Linked DNA regions of Pelodiscus sinensis. The protein of the gene in region 1 interacts with the protein of each later gene in a biochemical or structural test. Links are inferred from orthologs where the notes say so. Each region holds a gene or a part of one and is shown in the gene's direction. Other genes may lie near its edges.

Region 1 (10,488 bases):
TTCTGTTTTTTCTTGGATAGAAGGCCACTTGGGACATTCTTCCCCTGCTGCATCTGGCGGAGGTAGGGGAAATGTAGGAGTGCGTGGGGATATAAAGGGACCGTGACTCTTTTTTTTTTGTGCTTTTTTGTTTTTGCTCAACAACTTTTTGTTTGTTTTTTGTGCAACCAATTTTTCCTTCTGTGTATTTTTTGTGAAACTATCTGGCAACCCTAGTTTTCCACAATAGTGGCTCTATGAGAATAGTTTTGCATTTATGTACATTAATTTTAAGTCATATGTGTTGCCATCTTATTTTAGGAAATCCAAAGGGAAATATTTGGAATGAATTTAAATAAATTAGGTGGTCACCTGTACACAGGCTTATCGTTATGTTCACAGAGACCAAGTTTGACACCAGATATATTATAGTTTGTTCAAATGGCTATGCAGACAGTTATTGGTTTGATTACTGTTATATGTAAGAGAGGTGAAAGAATACAGTCCTGTTTGTCTCATCTTTTTAATTTTAACAGTTTAGGGGTTCGTCTAGACAGTGGGTCTATCGGAATACCGAAACAACTATGTTGCGTCTTTTAAACTCTCCCATTTTTTTGAAATATTTTTTGAAATAAGGGGTACACTATTCTGGCATCCCTGTAACTCTCATTCCATGAGGGTTAAGAGATGTGTTGAAATAGCATTTTATTTTCAAATTTGGCCCTATGTAGTCACGCCAAATTTCAAAATAAGCTATTTCAAAATTCAATTGAAATAAGATATGCAATTTGAGTAGCACAAATTGTGTAGCTTATTTCGAGTTTAGGGTGCTGTGTAGATGCACCCTAGGTTGTATTTGGTTCATAATTGTTTTTTCCCTTTGGTTGTTGGAAAAATACATTTATCCACAATCTAAGTTGAAAAAGAAAAACTTAGAACACTCTATTGAATGTCTTTTCTGAATCAAATCAGGATAAGCATGACTGTTTTATTCCATTATAATTAGCTGAAATACTTAATAGCCTTTTGTTATTGTTATTGGCCATTCTATTGTTAAGTAAGACTGAATTAATCTACATTAATAATATAGTATTACTCTTTCTAGATATACTTTTGACCTAATTTTGCTATTTTTAAGGGACTTTGCTTTATTTGGGAACATAATCATAGTGATATGATTTAGGTTTTGGGGTGTTGGTGGTGAGGAATATCTATCTATCTATCTATCTATCTATCTATCTATCTATCTATCTATCTATCTATCTATCTATCTATCTATCTATCTATCTATCTATCTATCTATCTAGTAAACAGGGAGTGATCAGAATATTGCATTTAAAAACAGTCAGGGAATAGCCAACTTTGCTGCTTTGCGGCTTGAAAATATTTTATTGTTTTATTGATTTTTGCCTTGGGAAAGATTCTCTTCATATAATCAGATGTTTGGGGATAAGTGTAAATCCTATACCAGACTTGAAAAAACTACCCAGGGACAACTAGCTTGAGGACTAAGCCAATCAGCCAGAATATAAATAACTTTCAAGGCCCTTACACCTCTTCTCCTACGAGTTGTGCACTATATTTAAATGATACATACTGTCAATCAACTACCTATTAAATACATTTTAAAATATGGAACTTATTATTAGGGCAGGTCAAATAGCAACCATCCGTGCCTTTCCACTTATCGCTTCAAGAACATATTTCTCTCCTTACCTTCCAAGTCCTGTCCCTGCTTCCTTTCTTGACTATGTTTCCTCCAAAGATTGACTCTCTTATTGCTATAATTAGATTTCTATGACACTAACATTGGAGTGGTATATTCTAGCATTCCTCAGCATGCTACTGTGATGCATTTTGGGAATTGCACCAATGTAGGCAGATGACACTGCTGAAAAGTTAAAGGTGGGAAATTTGAGTCTCTAATGTCACCATCAAGATGTGCCTTTGATCATGAGATGTTTCTGAAATAATAGTGAGTATGATTTGGAAGGGGAAATTAGAATCTCCTGAGAGAGGTTCCACTTAAACTTTTCTAGATCAGTTGCAGAGTGTGGTGAGGACTGACTTCTTCGCGTGATGTCAGCTGTCGGTACTATATTGGTAAGTTTGAGTTCTGTCACACACAGCTCTTCTCAGAGCCAGACACTGCTCTCTCCATCATCACAATTACAAGTCAGAGACTTCATGAAAGTCAACTAAGAACAGCTTAACCTGAAGAATTAGAAGGAGATGCTGATTAGCAAGAGGAAAGACTTTGAGGCCTTAGTTAACAATATAATCATTCCTTCAGATGAAGTAATCTGACCAGCTATCGCTGAATTAGTCTACACTCTTAGGATCTGTTGTTTTATTCACCAGTCACATATTTTCTTGTTAGTATGGCTCTTGCCTCAATAAGCCACATGTTTGTAACTTCTTGGTTAGACAATTCTAGCAGACACTACCAGAGACTATTTGTGAAAGTCATTAAGAAGGTCGGTAGTAATCTAGAAGGCAGCCACCCATCTTTTGATTGGGGTCTGTCAAAAAGAACACATCATCCCTGATTTCTGTTCTCTGGACTGGTTCTTCATTGACTTTCATGTGAAATTATAGGGCACTAGTTCCTACCGACAAAGTCCTAATTCATCTAGGCTCACTCAGACAGCCTGTAGGATGCCTTCATCATCTGAAAGCCACAGCACAGCATGCATTCTGGAATTCTGTAACTCCATGTTCCAGGAATGAAGCTTCTGGAAACTAGTAACAGGACATTTCCAGCAGAGGGCCTGCACTTTTGCTGCCCATTCTCTTCAGAAATATGGTTAAACATGAACCTTGCCATGTATAAAAAGAGCTTCAGGATGCTCCCTTTTTTGTCTGGGCCTTATTTAATAATAGTACATGGGGTGGGCTTTTAGCTGATTGATCAGATTCCTCTCAATCTTAGGGAAGTATACTGGGTTGGTCTCCCTCTTATTTGGAATGCTAGGGCCCAATCCTGCTCCTATTGAAGTCAACAGAGAACTCCCATTGACTTCTGTGATGCAGGGTTAGGTGTTTACTCCGATAGGACAGTGATCGGTATCTTTGCATGACAGAATAATAACAAACACTTTCATAGTCTTATTTGACTCATAATAAAGAAAAAAATGTTTTGGCATGAAAAAATTAGACCAAAGAAGTTTGAGAAGATTCTTTTTGAAGTAAACACATTCTTCTATTCCTGTCCCTATAGCGAATGTCCACATTTTTCCTTTCAAATACTTATGAGTAAAGAGTTGGTAAAAGTGGAGCTCACTTAAGTGACATTAGAAAGTACCAGTTTATGATATCTGTATTCATGGATAAGAATCCATAAAAATTCTCATCCTAAGCAATGGGGATGTCTAGTGGAGTAAAATCCTACTTAATATAAAGTATCAGAATCTGGCCTACAGTAGTTTACAAAACGTTAGCCGAAAATAAAACAAAACCAGCCAACCCTACCCTCTCATTGTCAGAATAGATGTCTAATTAGTTCTTTGATGCATCTATATAGAATTTTTAAAAATTTTCCTCTGAGATCATACAGTTCAAGCAAATTTCATTTTATATTACTGTAGCAAGGGAGGCTAGCCTAATTTACTGCTCCTCTCCTCCTCTTTCCTCCTTCTGTGGCTCTCTGAGCAAAGTTTGTGTTCCTCGTATCTACTTGGTCCCAAAGCCTGTCTGGATATTTACTTTTAAAGGCTTGGAGTTTCAATATTTTTCCTTGGAACTGTCAGGTGAGGGTCATCCCAGTGAAGAACTTTCCAGTGAAACAATAAATCCTCCCCTGCCCTTGTCCTGTCATCGTAGCATAGCAGACATCCCTGGCAGCTTGATCACCCTCCCCTACACATTCTTGCTTTGTGTATCCCTCAGGGTCCCTCCTCCCTTCAGTAATATAAATGGCTGAAATATAAAACAAAAAAGACACTTGGAAATTTATCAAGTTGAAGCTGCATCAGTCTAAAAAACTCAGCAAGAAACCTGAGTAAATTGTAAAGAAGTTTCCTGATGTGAAAGTTACCTAGGTGATTTGTAGTAATTCATACTACTGTGTCATTGCATTATCTGCCTAAATCTTTTCAAATGAAGTGTCTGGAAAAGCTGCTTTTTTGAATGTTGCAATTAAGCATTAACCTTGAAATCAGACAGTGTTTTATCAAAATAAGTAATCTGCATTTAGCTGTTAGGAATCAGTACAGTTTGTTAGTTTGGGATCTTTTGCACTTTATCTTTATTTATAACTTGCAGATTTATGGCACATGTTTTAGTAATTTGTAGTTTTGTAACCATAAGTTTTACTTATGAAAGAATGTGAAAACTGGACTGCTCTGCTGCATATGTTGTATAGTGCAGTCAATTACCTCAAGAAAATACTTATTTTTCTTATGACTTCCTTTTTCGATACCAGAAATATGACTGAGTTAATAAAACCTTAGACAGAGAATGAAAACAGCTAGAATAGTAGAAGCTTTTTTGGTGCTTAAATTAACCAGATCCTATTTTTAAAAAGATCTTGGTAATTTTTTAAAAATTGTTAATGCGATCACTAGTTGCAATTATACACTGATGTGAGCTGAAATTTATAGTAGAAAACTGTTTCCCCCATGGGTTGAAAAGAAGAGTGATATTGGGAATATCAAAGTCATAGTCTAAGGGTAATCTGGCCTACTGGAGATCACCTTTTCAAACCAATGGACAATACAGTAAAACTCCATTGGTCCGGCATCTGATGGTCTGGCACTCCTGATGGTCCGGCACCATCAGGAACCCGGAAGTGCTCCAGGCAGCCGGACCATTGGAGCTGCTCTGCCCCTGGCTTCCCTGATTCAGCCGCTACTGAAGCTGACCAGCGGCTGAATCAGGGAAGCCGGGGGCAGAGCAGCTGGAGTGCTGCCAGTAGGTCCTGTAGTGCTGCCCCTCAGCGCTGCGGGACCAACCCAGCAGCACGCCAGCTATCCCCGATTCAGCTGCTGCTGAAACTGACCAGCGGCTGACTCCAGGAAGCCAGGGGCAGAGCAGCTCTGCCTCGGGCTTCCCGGAGTCAGTCGCTTGTTAGTTTCAGCGACGGCTGACTTGGGGACGCCTAGGGCAGAGCATCTGGGGTGTTGCTGGGTTGGTCCAGTAGCGCCACCCCTTGGTGCTGTGGAACCAACCTGGCAGCACCCCAGCTGCTCAGCCCCAGATGACCCCAAGAGCAACTGAGGTGCTGCCGGGTTGATCTTGCAGCGCCAAGGGGCAGTGCTACCGGACCAACCCGGCAGCACCCTAGCTGCTCTGCTGCAGGTGTCCCAATTCAGCTGCTGCTGAAACTGACCAGCAGCGGCTGAATTGGGGACGCCTGGGGCAGAGCCGGACTATTAGAAGGGGGGGCTATGAGGGGTCTGGGGTGGCATCCCCCCCACCCCACCCTAAACCCCTCATAGCCCCCCCTTCCGATAGTCCGGCATAGCTGATAATCTGGCACCCCCTGGGTCGGACGGATTATCGGAAGTTTACTGTACTTTCCCTAGAAATTAAACACTCCAGTCTGAAATATGTGTGCTATATAATTTAACATGTATTTTGTCTCAGACCTGTTGCTGCTTCAGTTTCCCTCTACCGAAGAGTTTCTATTTTAGTTCAGGGGGGTCATGTGACCTTCTCAGCCAATTACAGCACTCCAGAAGTAATGCCAACAGCCTTCTTGGATAAATGTAAGTGAAAATAGCTCTCAGTTTTTTCAGTTTCTTTCCCTCATGCTCACTTTTACATGTTGTTTTTACTCAAAACATTGCTGCGCACACCTCATGGTGCCCATGGGAATGCTTACAAGTATTATTGTAACTCTTTTTCTAACGTCAATTTTATTTACTGTCTCTTTGTTTTCCGTGTCCAGCAAAAAGCAGCAAAAAACAAGGGAATGCATTCCAAATGTTGTCATTAAGTATGGAATAAGTGTACAGTGAAAATCTCTTATTCAGTATTATTTAGCATTAAATCTGCCATAGCCTAAAAATTACCCTGTGCTCAAGCTCCAGACATAGTCACATGAGTCTTTCAGCCAAAACTGATCAGCTAGGAGAACAGTTATAAATGAAATTATTAGCTCTCTTGAGCCTGTCTCAACCAGTTGCATTAAACTGAATAATTAAAAGGTTCAATAAATTCATTTCAAAGACACAATACTGTAGATATCTATAAAGAGAAGGAATACAGCATCTTTCGTGGGTGATGAATTTATTACTTTCATGAATCACAAAGGCTACATTGTACCCTTTAATGAATGTAAATATTACATTTTGATCCTAATAGATGCTGAAATCTATTTACAGGATATGATATTTAAATAGTAAATATAACAATATTTTTCTCTTTCTTTTCAATTATGGGTACATTCTTTAACCCGTTCTCAAACAGAGGGTCTTTATCTGAGTACCAGCTTTTCCTTTAATAGGATTTCTGGCACAAAATTAACAGCTTAATAAGCAAAGACTATCTCTTAATTATTTTGAGCCTTCTTTTCACATTGTGAACTTTTTTTTCTGAGATGATACATATTTGTTTTCCCGCATGGCACATATGTATATAGCATTTTGCTGTGACTACTTTATTATTTCAACACACTTTTTGAAGTTTACAGATAATCTTTGAAGGACTATTTTCATTTTGAAAATTAGTTTCAGGTTTTGCATAGAATTTGAAGGTAAACTTGGTAGTGAGAGCCTGATCCAACACCCACTGAAGTTAACTGGCATCTTTTTATTGACTTCAGTGGGCTTTATATCAGGCCCCATCCCATGTTGCAGCCCTTTTAGGTAAAAGGCCTCCATGAGAGCTTCTGTTACTTTATTTATGTATTTATTTTTGCATAGCTGTGATATATACTTAATCATAAGGCATCTCTCAAGTAAATGTAATGAACCAGTTTCACAGAAGAAAAGAGATAAGAAGCATGAACATATCTCTTAGTATTTTTTCTATACTGTACTGCAGAAAACGTGTCTCTGTACATTTTAGTTCTGTTTAACTGGCTGTTTGTCTCATAATTTTTGGATTTTTTTTTCTTTTTTAAGATGAAAATTCTCAGACTTAATATGAATAGAATTTTCTCATTGTTTAAATTTAAATGAAAAGAGGTTGTTTTATATGGTGTTTTATTAAGATCCAAAACAATAAACCCAAAATTTTATAAATCTAAATGGAAACATCAAGATAGTAAAGAAAAAGGGATCAACTAGAGTTCTTGTCAAAAGCTACAAAGCAGACATCATACACAAATGGAAGGTTTTAGAATAAGGAAAAAAATAGGTGAGGAACATTGCCTTTTTAATCCAGCCCTTCATTTCAATATATGTGATGAAAGATAGCAATGTATTCAGATATCTGTTCTATTTAAATATTCCACTCTGTGGTGTTGAGAACCCAAATACAACAGCCACGTGCTAGTGCATGATATTCAGAAATGAAAACAAAATCAAAACAGACTATTTGAGTGAACATCAGGAAGCAAAGTTACTAATATTTTGAGTGCGAAGTCAGGAACAATTGTAATTTATTGTAACACCTTTGTGTCAAAGTTGAACAGGCTGGGAAGGGGAATGTATTCAGTTTTTGCCATTTAAGCAACTATGTCTGTTCATAAAATTTTAAAATATATTTCTAATTGTATTTAACCAAATCAAACTGTTCCTTCAAGATCCTGAGCAATTCCTCCCTGGTGTTCAGTGCCCTTAACTCCCACTGACTTCCATAGGAACTGAGGATGATCTGCATTTTGTAGGACAGGGCTACTCAACACGCAGCCTGCAGGCCACATGCGGCCTGAAGCCCATTTGTTTGTGCTGTCTGGCACAGTTTGGGTTTACGTGGGGCTCAATACGTGGCCAATGGATGGGAGCCAAAACAAAAAAGTAGTCAATATAATGGTCTTCTGTTGATATGTGTTTTAGCAGTTAAATTCCTGGACTGTCATTGCTCATTAAAAGTGCTGTCATATGGGTGGAAATCAGGTAAATATTGCATTTTATTAATATCAGCAGAACTGACTCAAATGGGGCCTGTGCATTGTGTAGTATTACCTTAATCTTTGTATTCATGCTCATCAGTGTGAAAGGAGCTATTTGCATATATTTGCATATATATTTGCATGTATATACAGCCACACTTAAGTTGTGGCCCTCAGCATGTGGCCCCCGGGGCTTCCAAAGTTGAGTAGCCCTGTTCTAGGAGGTGTCAGCTCTTACCATAGCAGGGGCCTAACATTAACATGCCCAGAATAGCGAGACAAGTCCCATTAGCAGCTATACAATATTATGGCTCTACTTATTCAGCCCAGTGGAATCTCAGCACTTTCTTGCCTGCCCCCAAATTAAAAGAAATATGGCAATTTCCCCATGAAACAGCAATATAATGCAGTATACAAATCACAAATAAAAGGTAAGTAATTGGAGGATCTGTTATCATTTATGTCTTGCTTCCTTGTTTTCTGCTATTTTAATTTCTTTGCTACTTATCCATTCTCCTCCACTGTTACTTAAAATTTCATTAGAAAACAAACAGACAAAAAAAAAAAATTGCAGCTGTGAGATTAGACCATACCATAAATTCAGTGGGAGTAGGATCAGGTGACGTGTGCATGAACTCTAAAATATTTTCCTTTCCCTCATGTTCTGTCCTCTGTTCTTGGTTTCACCTCACTTAAACTTGAAAAATGCCACTCATGTGGAATGAACATCACAGGTATCTATGCTGATACTGTCTCACTCCAGCCAGCCGAGATGTCACTCATAAGCAGTGCAGCAGATAATGAGCAAAGTGTTCCTTCAGCTCCTCCTCCTGGCTACTAGAGAGTACTTCTGGGCTTCTGCTGAGGCAACCAGTTTCTCTTGCCTATCCCTTCCCATTGCTACTGAGTCCCTCAGCCCTGCTGTGCCACCCAGGGCTGCGAACAGAGGCAGCTCATAGAAAGGAATAGGTGTCCAGCTGTCTCTGAACAGTAACATGCACCATTCTCAGAAGACAGTCAAGATGGTGGGGAGAGGAAAGAGACGGGGGACCAGAGAGAATATAAAGATATACAGGGGGAGAAAGGATTGTGGTTGAGATTGGTCCTTTATAGGCAGAGGGTGAGCAGAAAAAGTGGGGCAAGACAATCAACCTACACACACACTTCATGCATGCTGCCATGGTACCGTATTTGAATATAATCGCTTATTGCAGCAAGGAACATGCATGAAACAAGGACTGCAGGAGCTAGCAGAAGAAACACTGAGAGCTAGGAAAGGAATAGAGGAAGCACTTCTCAGAGTGGCCATTACTGGCTAGAGGGACATGATAAAGCAAAAGAAATACATTATGCTATAATTTTGTTCTCTACAGGACAACCCATTGGGCATGTGAAATGGGGAGACAAATGTGCAACAGTTTGGCAGGTATAAATAAACAAGCAGCAAAACTAGTGACAAGTAAAATCAAAGTAAATCTATCTTCACTTCAAATGGAAACACCAAAGCATGAAAATACAGGAGGCTTGTTTAACTTGCTTCACATAAGCATTAACAGATAGCAATACATTAATATCAATTTTAAATAGAAAAAGGATACAGAATAGTTTACACTAAAATTTCCTTTGGGAAAGCTATTTAAATTTCCCATGTTTTTCTGCCTTAATAATCTGGGTTTTGATTCTGCCAAGACACATTGATTTCAATGAGATGTAAGTACCTACTTAAAGTGAACTATATATTTAAATTTATGTCTGAATCAGGGCCTTATATTGTCGTTTATTAGTAATAGAGAGGTAAAGTTTACAAATATGTACTGAACTTGACTATCTCTTTTGACTGAATTCTTTCAGTCTGGCTTCTTTTGCGGTGACAACGCCCTTGGCAAAACGTGATAGGAGTTCATACAGGGCTTCTTTCCAGATGGAAGTTCACACTCAACTTCAATCCTGGTGCATCCAATCCTCCTTGGTCAGTTTTTAAAGCTGTAAATTGTAATAATTCTTATTGTTTGGGGTAAAATTAACACCTACTAAGACATCATTATCTCTGTTAGCTATTTGTTAGCACTCAACTAGCTAGTTTAAGGAGGAGAGGAAAGCTTGCTGTATTGTCTGCAGGATTTTAAATCAGACTATGTGATATTAAATATTTGCTAAATGTACAGGATACATTTGCAATTTAATTTGCTTATGAAGTGGTGTTACACCTGCTATATATAATGACATGAGTGGTGTGGCCTTTTGATTACTTGGTATCCAAAAGTACTATTTTTTCCCATCATACAATATGCTGAATTTAGTTAAGTCTAATTAACTGCATTCGTCATTTCTTACAATATACTTACAGTGCATGCAGGAGGTATGATAGAAGCATGTGCAGACATACCTGGGCTAGCTTTAATTTTGCTAGTTCAGGTAACAACAGCACTGATTACTCCACGATTGGGGCCTATGCAAACATACTCAACTGGGTCCCTACCTTCTAAAGCAATTCTATGCAGCTGATTTTA
Region 2 (9,867 bases), on another chromosome or scaffold:
GTTGCCAAGTTTTAAAAAGACGGTCAAACCAGCACACCAATGGACATCTCTGGCATAGCCCCTAGAACCAGAGTTTGAGGAAGTGAAAAATTGCTTTTGACAGCAGTAGCCTCTTCCACAGACTCAGAAAATATTTTCTTTATTTCAAGCTTATTCAGGTCAATGATTAGTTCATACAAAGACCAGGCACAAATTGGAGCCAAAAAACCCGGAGAGCCTGTTTTCTCTCTTCCATTTATCGATGAAAACTAAGTGGGAGGGGACCTAAAATCTTGGAGGTAACAGCCAGAAATAATCCATTCAGTTCACTAACTACAACTAATACTTCTTTGGTTTAACAGAGTTACAAATTTTGCATTTAAAATTAACATCTGGCACATTTAAGGAAGTTTCAGGTAATACATTTAAATGCGGGTTTTGTGCAAGTGTAACTGAATCCAACTGGGATTTGACAGGTCACAAGGGGAAAAAATTATTCTACTAAAGCATGGGTTGCCAAACTGGGGGTGTGCCCCCCTGGAGGTCATGAAGAAACTCCGGGAGGGGGGGCATGAGGTGACCCAGCCACACACGTCCCGGTCAATTCCACCCCAAGTTTTGCTGCTTTTTTGGGAGGGGGAAGGGCGTGAGGGTTTCTCAAATATCAAGACGGGGGCGTGATGCCGAAAAGTTTGGGAACCACTGTACTAAAGGAATGCATCATGCACCTTCATCTAACATTAAAAAAAAATAGGTTAAGCTACACAATTGCTTCAATAAATGTGTATAGGTACAATGTATCCTCCTGGTTAGTAAAAAAGAACAACCAAACTTAACACCTAGATTTAGCTGCAAATTAACAGAAGAACAAACGGTAACCAAGCAATGAGACTCAACTTTTCTTTAGGAACATAACTAGATAGTACAAGTGCAAAACGTAATTGAAAATCCGTCATTTAAATCTATTTGACTGAAAGCAATTCACCCTGTTCTAAATGAGAAAATCTTGCACCCTGTTACGTTTAGAAAGCCAAAACGTTCTTTTTCCTTTAATACAAAGCTGAATCACATTCACAGGCAGAGTTCAGGGACATTTTGGTGTCCAGGGCTGAGAAGAATGATGGAGACCAGATGCTTTATCTTCCTTTCCCCTGTAATAATTCTCCTGCCTCCCCAAAAATACACCCAACAGGTTTTGTAACCTTTGACCACACAGGTATCACATGCAGGGCTTCTACTCTGCTTAAATACAGAGATATACCTATCTCATAGAACTAGAAGGGACCTTGGAGAGGTCATTGAGTCCAATCCCCTGCCCTCATGGCAGAGCCAAATACCACCCCTGACAGATTTGCCCCAGATCCCTAAATGGCCCCCTCAAGGATTGAACTCACAACCCTGGGTTTAGCAGACCAATGCACAAACCACTGAGCTACCCTTCCCTCCTGCCTGAAGGGCCAAGTTCTGCATGGAAAGAGACATGGACGGAAAGTCTGCTGCTTTGGTGTTGCATGCATCGCAAGGTCTTATTCCTTTGCAACCTGGGAGATTAGCTCTTTTGTTAAGTAAGTTAGTTACGTCCCTGAAGCCCCCATGCACAAGTCACAGCTTGACGAGTGCCGAAGGGACACTAGTTTATCTTCCAGAGGAACCCAGACTTACCCGTTTCACCACCAGAGTTGCGATGGCCAGCACAGCAGCACCGCCCACCCCAAGCACCAGTCTGGCATTGGCCAACAGGAAGTCAACAGCACCACCCAGCCCGTTGTCATCCCGCCTCTTCCCCCTTTTATGAACCAGCTCAGCCATGCTCCACCTGCAGAGAGAGAGAAACACACAAGGTGATGCACCTGGGGTCCAAGGTGACTTGGTGGAACCTTTGGGAACATTGAAGAGCATGGAAATTTTCCTTCCAAAACGATCTACTCGTTTGTGGAACAGCATCCCTGGGGAAGGAGCAGATGGTCCATTAGCTGCGACATTTAATCTAACTGAGACCAAGCAGGGAATGGACCTAGAAGATCTCTTTGGCCCTTTGATAGCTTCTTCACACTTACCTTCCTGGCTATACAGAATTGCATCTCCATTTCCCCCTTCGTCTTCCTTATCACGGCCTTCCCACTGAGCTCCATGCCTTCCTCCCCCCAACCTAGAACTGCCTTCAAGTTGTTAGAACAGTCTCAATAACCAACACTTGGTGATCAGAGAAGTTTTCCATTTCACACGTTTCTGCTACATTGTATCCCCCACAAATTACTGAACCCTGCCCTGTAAATGTGACAGAGACAATGACACTAAAAAAAAAGGGAGATTATTTAGTGCAACAGGGTTTTCTGACTTGTGATGGAAAATTAATTGACTGAGATGGGGCTTGAATTCAGTTTCTAGACAAGTTTGTCAGTTTGAAGTCGGTAGCCCAAGCAGGAGGCCGGGAGTTCAGAATCCAAGGTTCTCTTCCAGACCACTAGTGATACTCTGCTGTGCCACGATCAAGTCACGTGACCTCTGTGACTCTGTTTCCCCATCTGCAAGATGGGAAAAATAACCCCGTGGGTCATGAAGCTCCAGATGAAAGGACACAGGGAATTACAGAGCATCAAACGGGGCTCCCATACAAATGCACTGTGGGCACGGTGTAAGATAACTCAAGGAGCTTCAAGTCCATTCAAGGTAAAGGCACCTCACACATCCCTTTGCATGGAGATTCTGCTGCCATCAGCCAGTGAACAAAACAAGGGTGTGAACACCTCACAGCCCCAGCAATCAAGGAGCCGTCTGGTCCTACTTCCACCCAGCTTTATCCCTCCTCTCAGTTTAACAGTGCAAACTTACAATCCGTTTCTTCCCAAGCCGCTATGCATTATTCACGCACGGCCCACAGAAGAGACCACCATGCACGTCACTTCTCAGGCCAGGCGCGATTCTTCCCCACTGATGCTTGGCAGCAAATGGGCCACAGCCAAATTCTTAGACCCCTGCGGCATCGGGACAGTGCACAGTGAACACGGCAGCTCAGACTTCTAGAGTTTGAAACCCACACTTCATCTGTGTCCTTTCCTCACATGGCAGAGACCTCTCATGAGTAATGATCCCAGTATGACTCAGTTTCACCATGTCACTATGGGAACAGCTTCTTAGGGGCTACAGTCTCCGGGAATTAAGAGCTCAAAATCTACTTCCCAGCTATAGTTTCTGTTTCAGAATACACGCTCCAATGGGCAAGGACCAACAGCCCCAAGTGTGGGAAGGCTGGTTCCAGCTCCCGGGCCCTCCACGGGGCTACAGCAGCCCCTCTGTGCACATCAGGCTGCTCCCACGTACTGGGTAACCAGTTCCCCAGTCACACCTCTACTGGGAGGCATACCTATTGCCCCAGCAGGCGCTCTGGTACAGCCGCACACAACTCTCACGAGCAAGAATGCCAAGCGGGGCTGTGCTGGGAGTTCAAGCTTTCAGGTTTTTTCCAGTGAATAATGGAATGGTTTGAAATAGGCCCAACAGGGCAAAAACTGGATCAAGGAATCAACAAGGCCCTGAACATGTAACAGGCTCATCAAGGGAATTGGGTTGGAGGGTAGAAATTCGTCTATTAGTCCCTCAAACATAAACAGAGGCCAGCACCGATCCAAATTTATATTCCCATCTGCAAAACTGCTCTGCAGATATTCGCACCCACATCTGTGGATACCCATAGGTATAAAGCAAATAACGGCAAAGTAGCAGGGTTCTCGATACCAAATTTGTATCCGTATCTGCCAACAAGGAGCCATGGATAGCCGTAGATATAGTGTGGCCAGAGAGCCAAAGGGTCTCAACGCCAGATCCCAGCCGGGACTGGATACGTGCTGTCAGAAATGCCCAGCGGCCTTCTTTAGCTGGACAGGAAATAGCAAAGCTGCCCCCACCTCCCGCACCCTAACTCAACGCGCCCCATCCCCTTGTGACACCAGCCCAACCTGCGCAGCTACGGAGGAGGAACTGGACTTTGCTCTCCCCACACGTGCCCTTGCTGTAAAAAACAAAAGATAGCACGTAGACAGCGGCCTGGATCACAGAAAGCTGCCCCAGCTGTGCTCCCCCCCAGGCCCGGATCACAGGGCCCCCCTCTCAGCTGTGCCGCCCCTCACCGGGCCTGGATCACAGGGCCCCCCTCTCAGCTGTGCCGCCCTATCAAGCCTGGATTACAGGAACCCCCTCAGTTGTGCCTCCCCTACTGAACCTGGATCAGGCCCCCCAGCTGTGTCGCCCCTCCTCCGGGCCTGGATCACTGGGCCCCCGCTCTAGATTCTCACACCTCGTTAGGCTGCCCCCCAGACTAAGCCAGAGGCCCCGGGAACTCACCGACAGGTGCCGGGAGCGGCGCGGCCGCACTCACCTTGAGCAGCGAGCCCCGCTAGGTCAGGCCATGTTGCGGCGGGGGAAGGCGGGTCCCGGCAAGGCCCGGGCCCCGGGGGCTGGAACAAGCCTCGGCCGGCCCCGCGGTTACTGCAGCAGCGGCTCCCCTACGGCCGATCCCCAGCGAACGTCGGCGACAGTCACATTCGGTCGGGCCGAGGCGGCCAATAGGAGCGCCCGCCTGTTGTCCCAACGTTCCGAAATGTAACGAGAGCCTCCGGTTGCCAATTGCGCCCCGCCCCTCGCCTCGGCTTCGTCACACGTGGGCGGAGCCCGGCAATTCTTCGCCTTAAAGGCGCAGCGGGACAGAAGCAGGAAGGGGTTGAGGATGTGGTGGGGTTGGGGGTTTCGCTTAGTCCTACCCGGGTAGTAGAGGGGCCTATATGCAGAGCTGACAGAGACTCCGCGAGGGAGGGGGGACAGTGCAGAAATCCGCCCTGGACACCCCCTACCCTGTCACCACTAGGAACAGGGATCCTAAGGCAGGCATTTGCATCCTGTGGGCCTTCCTACAGCTGTCACCTGCAGGTTCCCTACCCTTTGCTTGCTTTTTTGGAGTGAGCTGCCCTGCGAATGGGAGACGGGTGTTCAGTGCAGTTTTATGGGCCCAGGATCTTCCTGGATGTTCTGGGTTTGGGGTAGCTCAGAGGTGGCAAGAGTATCTAGCCCCAATCCTGGAACAGGATCAGCCCACTGGGTTGAGTGCTGTGCAAACACAGAACCAAAAGAGGGCCCCAGCCAGCCCCCAAAAGCTTAAGATCTGAGTAGGAGACGAGGTAGCGGGTAGATACAGAGAGGGACCCCAATGAGACAGCACTGTGTTATTAATTATTAATATTTATTAATTATTGTTAATAACCTGTCTCCTCTTGTCTACATAGGCACGGGCCTGGATCACAGGGCCCCCCTTTTAGGGTCTCACCTAGACTTATGTAGCTGGGCCTATTGACTGTAATGCATTTCATTAAATGCAGACAATTAAATGCATTACAGTCAATAGGCCCAGCTACATAAGCCTAGGTGAGACCCTAAAACCTGATAACCTTCCTAGGCTCTGTAACCCTTGATGAGAGACCTACAGTGGGGTTCTAGCCCCAGTGGGCTGTCTTTGGGAAAGCCCCTTGCCTCAGTTTCCTTTGTGTGATACTGACCTTGCTTGTAAAGCCCTCTGAGATCGGCCAGAGCTGGCTGTAATTTTCCTAGCAGTTTGCCCCACTATCCTTCCCAATAGTATTAACATTCTCTCGCCCTCCCACTGTTCCAGGGGGCTCCAGGAGAACGGGGGGGGGGGTAGTAGCCCCTTAAAAGCCTTCTCAGCCGCAGGCAACAATGAAGGTAGAATGGGGCAGGTTCCCCCAGGACCACAGAAAGGGGGATTCTCCCCCCACAGGGGTGGAGGCAGGCAGCTGCGATCACGTCTCCTCCCGGAGGGGGCTGTTTAAAAGCAAAGCTCCCTGGGAGGCTTGCAGCGCCCCTGGCAAGGAAGGGGTTAAAAGAGCGAGCGCAGGCTGGGTGTCAATGCAACACGCCCTGCCCTGCCGCCGGCTGGCTGCAGCTGCTGCGGAGCGGAGCAATGGCTGCCACCGGGGTGCTCCCCTTCATCCGGGGGGTCGATCTGAGTGGGAACGACTTCAAGGTACCGCAGGCCCCCCCCCCACCCTGGGCTGGGCTGCGGGCAAAGCCCGGGGCTGGGCGACAGACAGGGAGGTGGCTGGGCAGCTCCCAGCCTCTAGGCCCTGCCTGTTTCCTGCCTGGCTAATTTTAGACAGTGGCTCAGCCCTGGCTGCACTGTGGGGCCTGACATCCCGCTGGGAGGGGGCCGAGCTGGCCTGGCCAGAGCAGGGGGGGTTGCCAGAGAGGCCGGGCAATTTCAGAGCCCCTGGTTCTGGGGGGTGATGGGCCTCCTGGCTACAGACTATGGGTCGTTTTTAAAGTTTTTCCTGTTCCAGACTCACTCGCCTGCCCCCCTGAAACATTTTTACTCAGGGCGCCCCGCACTGAAACTAATCGCATCTCCTCCTGGTCCCTGTGAGGAGGGGCAAGGATTCTGTAAATCAGCCCTTCTCCATCCGCGGCGTGGGGGACCCCAGCAGGTTTCTAGGGTCCGAGCGAGAAAGCCAAAGCTACTCTGGGTGGAGTTGAAGTTTATGGGCACCCCCGGACTGAAGTTGAAACCTGAGAAACGAAGCGTCATAGAGCCCCTAAGATGTGGGGCCGGGGCCCCTTCTTGCTGCCCCTGGCTTTTATATGCGGGAAAACAGTTGTGCTAACTAACACAGCTGGGCCATGGAGTTTGTATAGCTCTGGGGAAAGAGGCCTTGGAAGGAAAAAGATGGCGAGCTGCTGGTAGAAAATCCCTCCTAGAGCGATGAAAGGGCTTGCCCCAGGTCACGCTGGCAGAATTGGGAATGCAACCCTGCTCTGATCCCTCACTTGCTTTGCCTCCTGGGATCTATTTCCCCAGCCTAACCTCTGACCAGGGGGTGACCGTGCTGCTGGATGCTGGTGGTCCTTTGGCTATGCTCTCTGGTCAGCCTGTTTCCCTGTGCCCATCGCTTGCCCTTGGCCATGGTGGTTTTGCTGGTCTGCGTGTGACTTAAGTGACTCAGCCAACTTTGCCCGGTGCTGTGACGTGACCCACAGTTTGGGCCTGTATAATCTCCCTGTGACACTAAGGAGCTATGAGTCCATGTGCTGCACTCACGCTGACTCCTACCGTGTGTGAAACTGTAACCGGGCCAGGCAGAGAAATGAGCTCATGCCGGCCCTTGCCAGGCACCGCGTCTGAGGAGCAGGATGGCCGCTCTGCCGGCCCTGGATGGGGCATGCAGAGATGCTCCCTCCTGTGAGGTTAAAATTCAGGTTCTTCCTTTGCAATTACCCTCCCCCAGCACCGGAGCCCTCCCATGGCAGCGTTGGCAGATCTGCCCTAGAAGGCTGTTGATCCGAGGAATGGCCCTTGGGCGCGGCGCATGCCGGTGGGCCCGCGTTGGTATGGTTTGGGGTGGCGCAGGGTTTATCTCTGCGATGTGGCTGTGGGGGTTGTGAAACCTGCCGCTAAACAGGCCCTTCAAATGCAGTTGCACAATCTGGGTTAATCTTTTTGCATGGGAGAAAGGCCCTTTCCTGCAGGTGCGTGGGTCTGCCTGCCCCTCCTCTCCCTGGATGGGGAGGCTGCTAGTTAGAAACCTTCCACCAGCGGTAGCAAAACGCCTGCTAAGGCCAGGCTCGCACAGTGACCGACACTGGGGCACAACACCCTCGTGGGAGGAGCAAACTCCTGTGAATGAAGCTACACGTGTGCTTGAGCCTCGGCAGAATCGGGGCCTGCGAGTGTCCGTCCACGGGATTCATGCTGCCTCCCAGCCCCCTAATCTTGCATAACCTGCCCGACCGCTGCTCCGCTCAGGATTGGCTCCCAGGGCAGTGTGGGGGAGGCAGGGGGGCAAGAGAGGCTGCTGCCCGCGGCAGACCCAGGTTTGCTGCAGACAGAGGCTGCTCCGTAGGATGCTGGCACAGCCTCTATCCGTGGCGAGCGCAGACCCCTGCATACAGGGTCTGCTGCTGTTCTGCGCTGCTGCCTCTGATACAGAGGCAGCCATGTGGGGCGGCGGGGGGCTCCCCGGTGTGAGTCCCCAGGGACTATCAAATAATCGTGTGACCGCTAAAATGCTGCGGTTCCACGACTATTCGATTACATGGGATCTAACATCCCTAGTTACAGTAAGTCCCGCGCTGTTGGAACAGCCTGTCACATTGGTGCATTTGGCAGGGATCCCGGAAAAGGGGCCGTGGGTGGTTCCCCTCTGCGGTGTGGGGAGGGTGTTAAGAGCACAGGATCCTACCGCCCCGTCTGGATGAGAAACCCGTTTCCCTGCCCAGCGGATGCCCAGCGTGGCTCTTTCTCTCTCCCGCCTCTCAGGGTGGCTATTTTCCGGACCACGTGAAGTCCATGACCAGCTTGCGATGGCTGAAGCTGAACCGGACCGGCCTGTGCTACCTGCCAGAGGAGCTCTCTTCCCTCCAGAAACTGGTGAGAGTGGCCTGAGGCCGGCGGTGCCCAGACTGGCTGCTGGGTGCTCCTTGGGAAGCTGCCTTTGGGGCAGGGGTGCGTATAATGCAGGTGAGCGCATGGAGTCGTTGAGAGCCCGCGGCAGGCTTCAAACGGAGAGCAAAGGGGCAGGTAGACCCAGTTGAAAGCTGCCCCTACGATCATTCTACTGGCTCGTTCTTCCATGGCTTTTCATCCATGCTTCTCTCCAAGAGCTTTGCAAAGGTTCTCTCCATTCCACAGCTGGGGAAACCGAGGCACAAGGGGGCGACGTGGCTTACGCAAGCTCACTGAGTCGGCCAGTGGCCCAGCCAGGAATAAAACCCTTGTGGTTTGGACTGGTGCTCTACCTGCTACACCCACTGTCTCCTCTGCAGTGCATTCCTGCAGGTGTACACACACACACACACCCTCTCTCTTTCTTTCTCGCTCTCTAAGGACAGCCTGCAAAGGCTCTTTAAATTCCATTCCCTGTCCCCTAGAAATGCCAGGCGCATCAATCCCACTTCTTAGTTTTCCTGAGCCCTCACGACTTGGTCCAGGGGCTTGAGGGTGGAACTTTAGCAAAGACAGGGATGCTGGAATGAAACCAAGAGCGGAGTTCCCCTCGGCTGGGCGCTGCGCAGTCTGTCTCTCTCTCAGCCGCGAGGCTTTCCCTGTCTTGTGAGAAGAGGCCTGTGGTGGATTCCCCGTCACTTGAAGTCTTAATTTCAGCGGGGCATCTTTCTAGGAGATCTGTTGTCGCTCACTCAGCAGTTCTGGGCTTGCTGGGGGACCTGCTCTGGGGTCCTGGGGGGCCTGTCTCTTCTCCGGAGCTCAGATCAGGCAATCCAAAGGCCTTCGAATCAGTGCATTTGTGTCAACTTTACTAGTTCTCCGTAGAGCCTCCCTTAGTAGATCAGTTCTGAATAGCTAATGGTGCCAGCAAACTCGCTTCCTTCCTGGCCTGCTGTCTGCTATAAAGCAGCAAAAACGGTCTCCAATCCCCGTTCGTTTTTTTTTCTTCTTTATAGATCATCTTTAGCGGAAACCCTATGACCAAAGCCCCAGTGAATCCCATTGCCCGGGTGACTCCTGCAGCTAGCCTGACATCTAGGACAGCAGCGTGTGCATCCCCTCACTCCTGTGAATGGTTTCCGGATGTCGGTGTGATGACTAGGGATGTTAGACTAGTTGACTATCCAATAAGCATTTGTTTATTGGATAGGCTTTTGACTAGCTGACATTCCCCCTGCCCCCTCTCTATCCCCTAGGCCATGCCAGAACCTGCCCCACCACCTTACTCTCAGGGCGCCCTTCATCCTGCCTGCCCTTGGAGGGGGGGCGGGAGGGAGGGACAGCAAAGCAGGGGTGGGGAGAAGAGTACGTCAAAGCGGTAGCGCCACACAGCAGCACTGCCACTTTGAAACTCCAAGGCGACCGTTTCAAAGGGGCAATCACCA

The links. The genes of interacting proteins can lie anywhere in the genome.
Region 2: the proteins of ESR1 (region 1) and FLII form a complex in vitro, tested with the Homo sapiens proteins (2 studies listed by BioGRID). The link is inferred for Pelodiscus sinensis from reciprocal best matches to the Homo sapiens genes ESR1 and FLII.

What each region holds. Positions count from the first base shown.
Region 1 is NC_134713.1:107,787,539-107,798,026, forward strand, and holds the start of ESR1 (estrogen receptor), read left to right. Parts: upstream 1-5,589; 5' UTR 5,590-5,662; coding exon 5,663-5,687; intron 5,688-9,829; exon of another isoform or gene 9,830-9,947; intron 9,948-10,488.
Region 2 is NC_134726.1:34,200,993-34,210,859, reverse strand, and holds the start of FLII (protein flightless-1 homolog), read left to right. Parts: upstream 1-5,853; 5' UTR 5,854-5,947; coding exon 5,948-6,010; intron 6,011-8,296; coding exon 8,297-8,407; intron 8,408-9,867. Other genes in the region: MIEF2 (mitochondrial dynamics protein MID49), read right to left, coding at 1,642-1,788. UniProt on the Homo sapiens protein: Is a regulator of actin polymerization, required for proper myofibril organization and regulation of the length of sarcomeric thin filaments. It also plays a role in the assembly of cardiomyocyte cell adhesion complexes.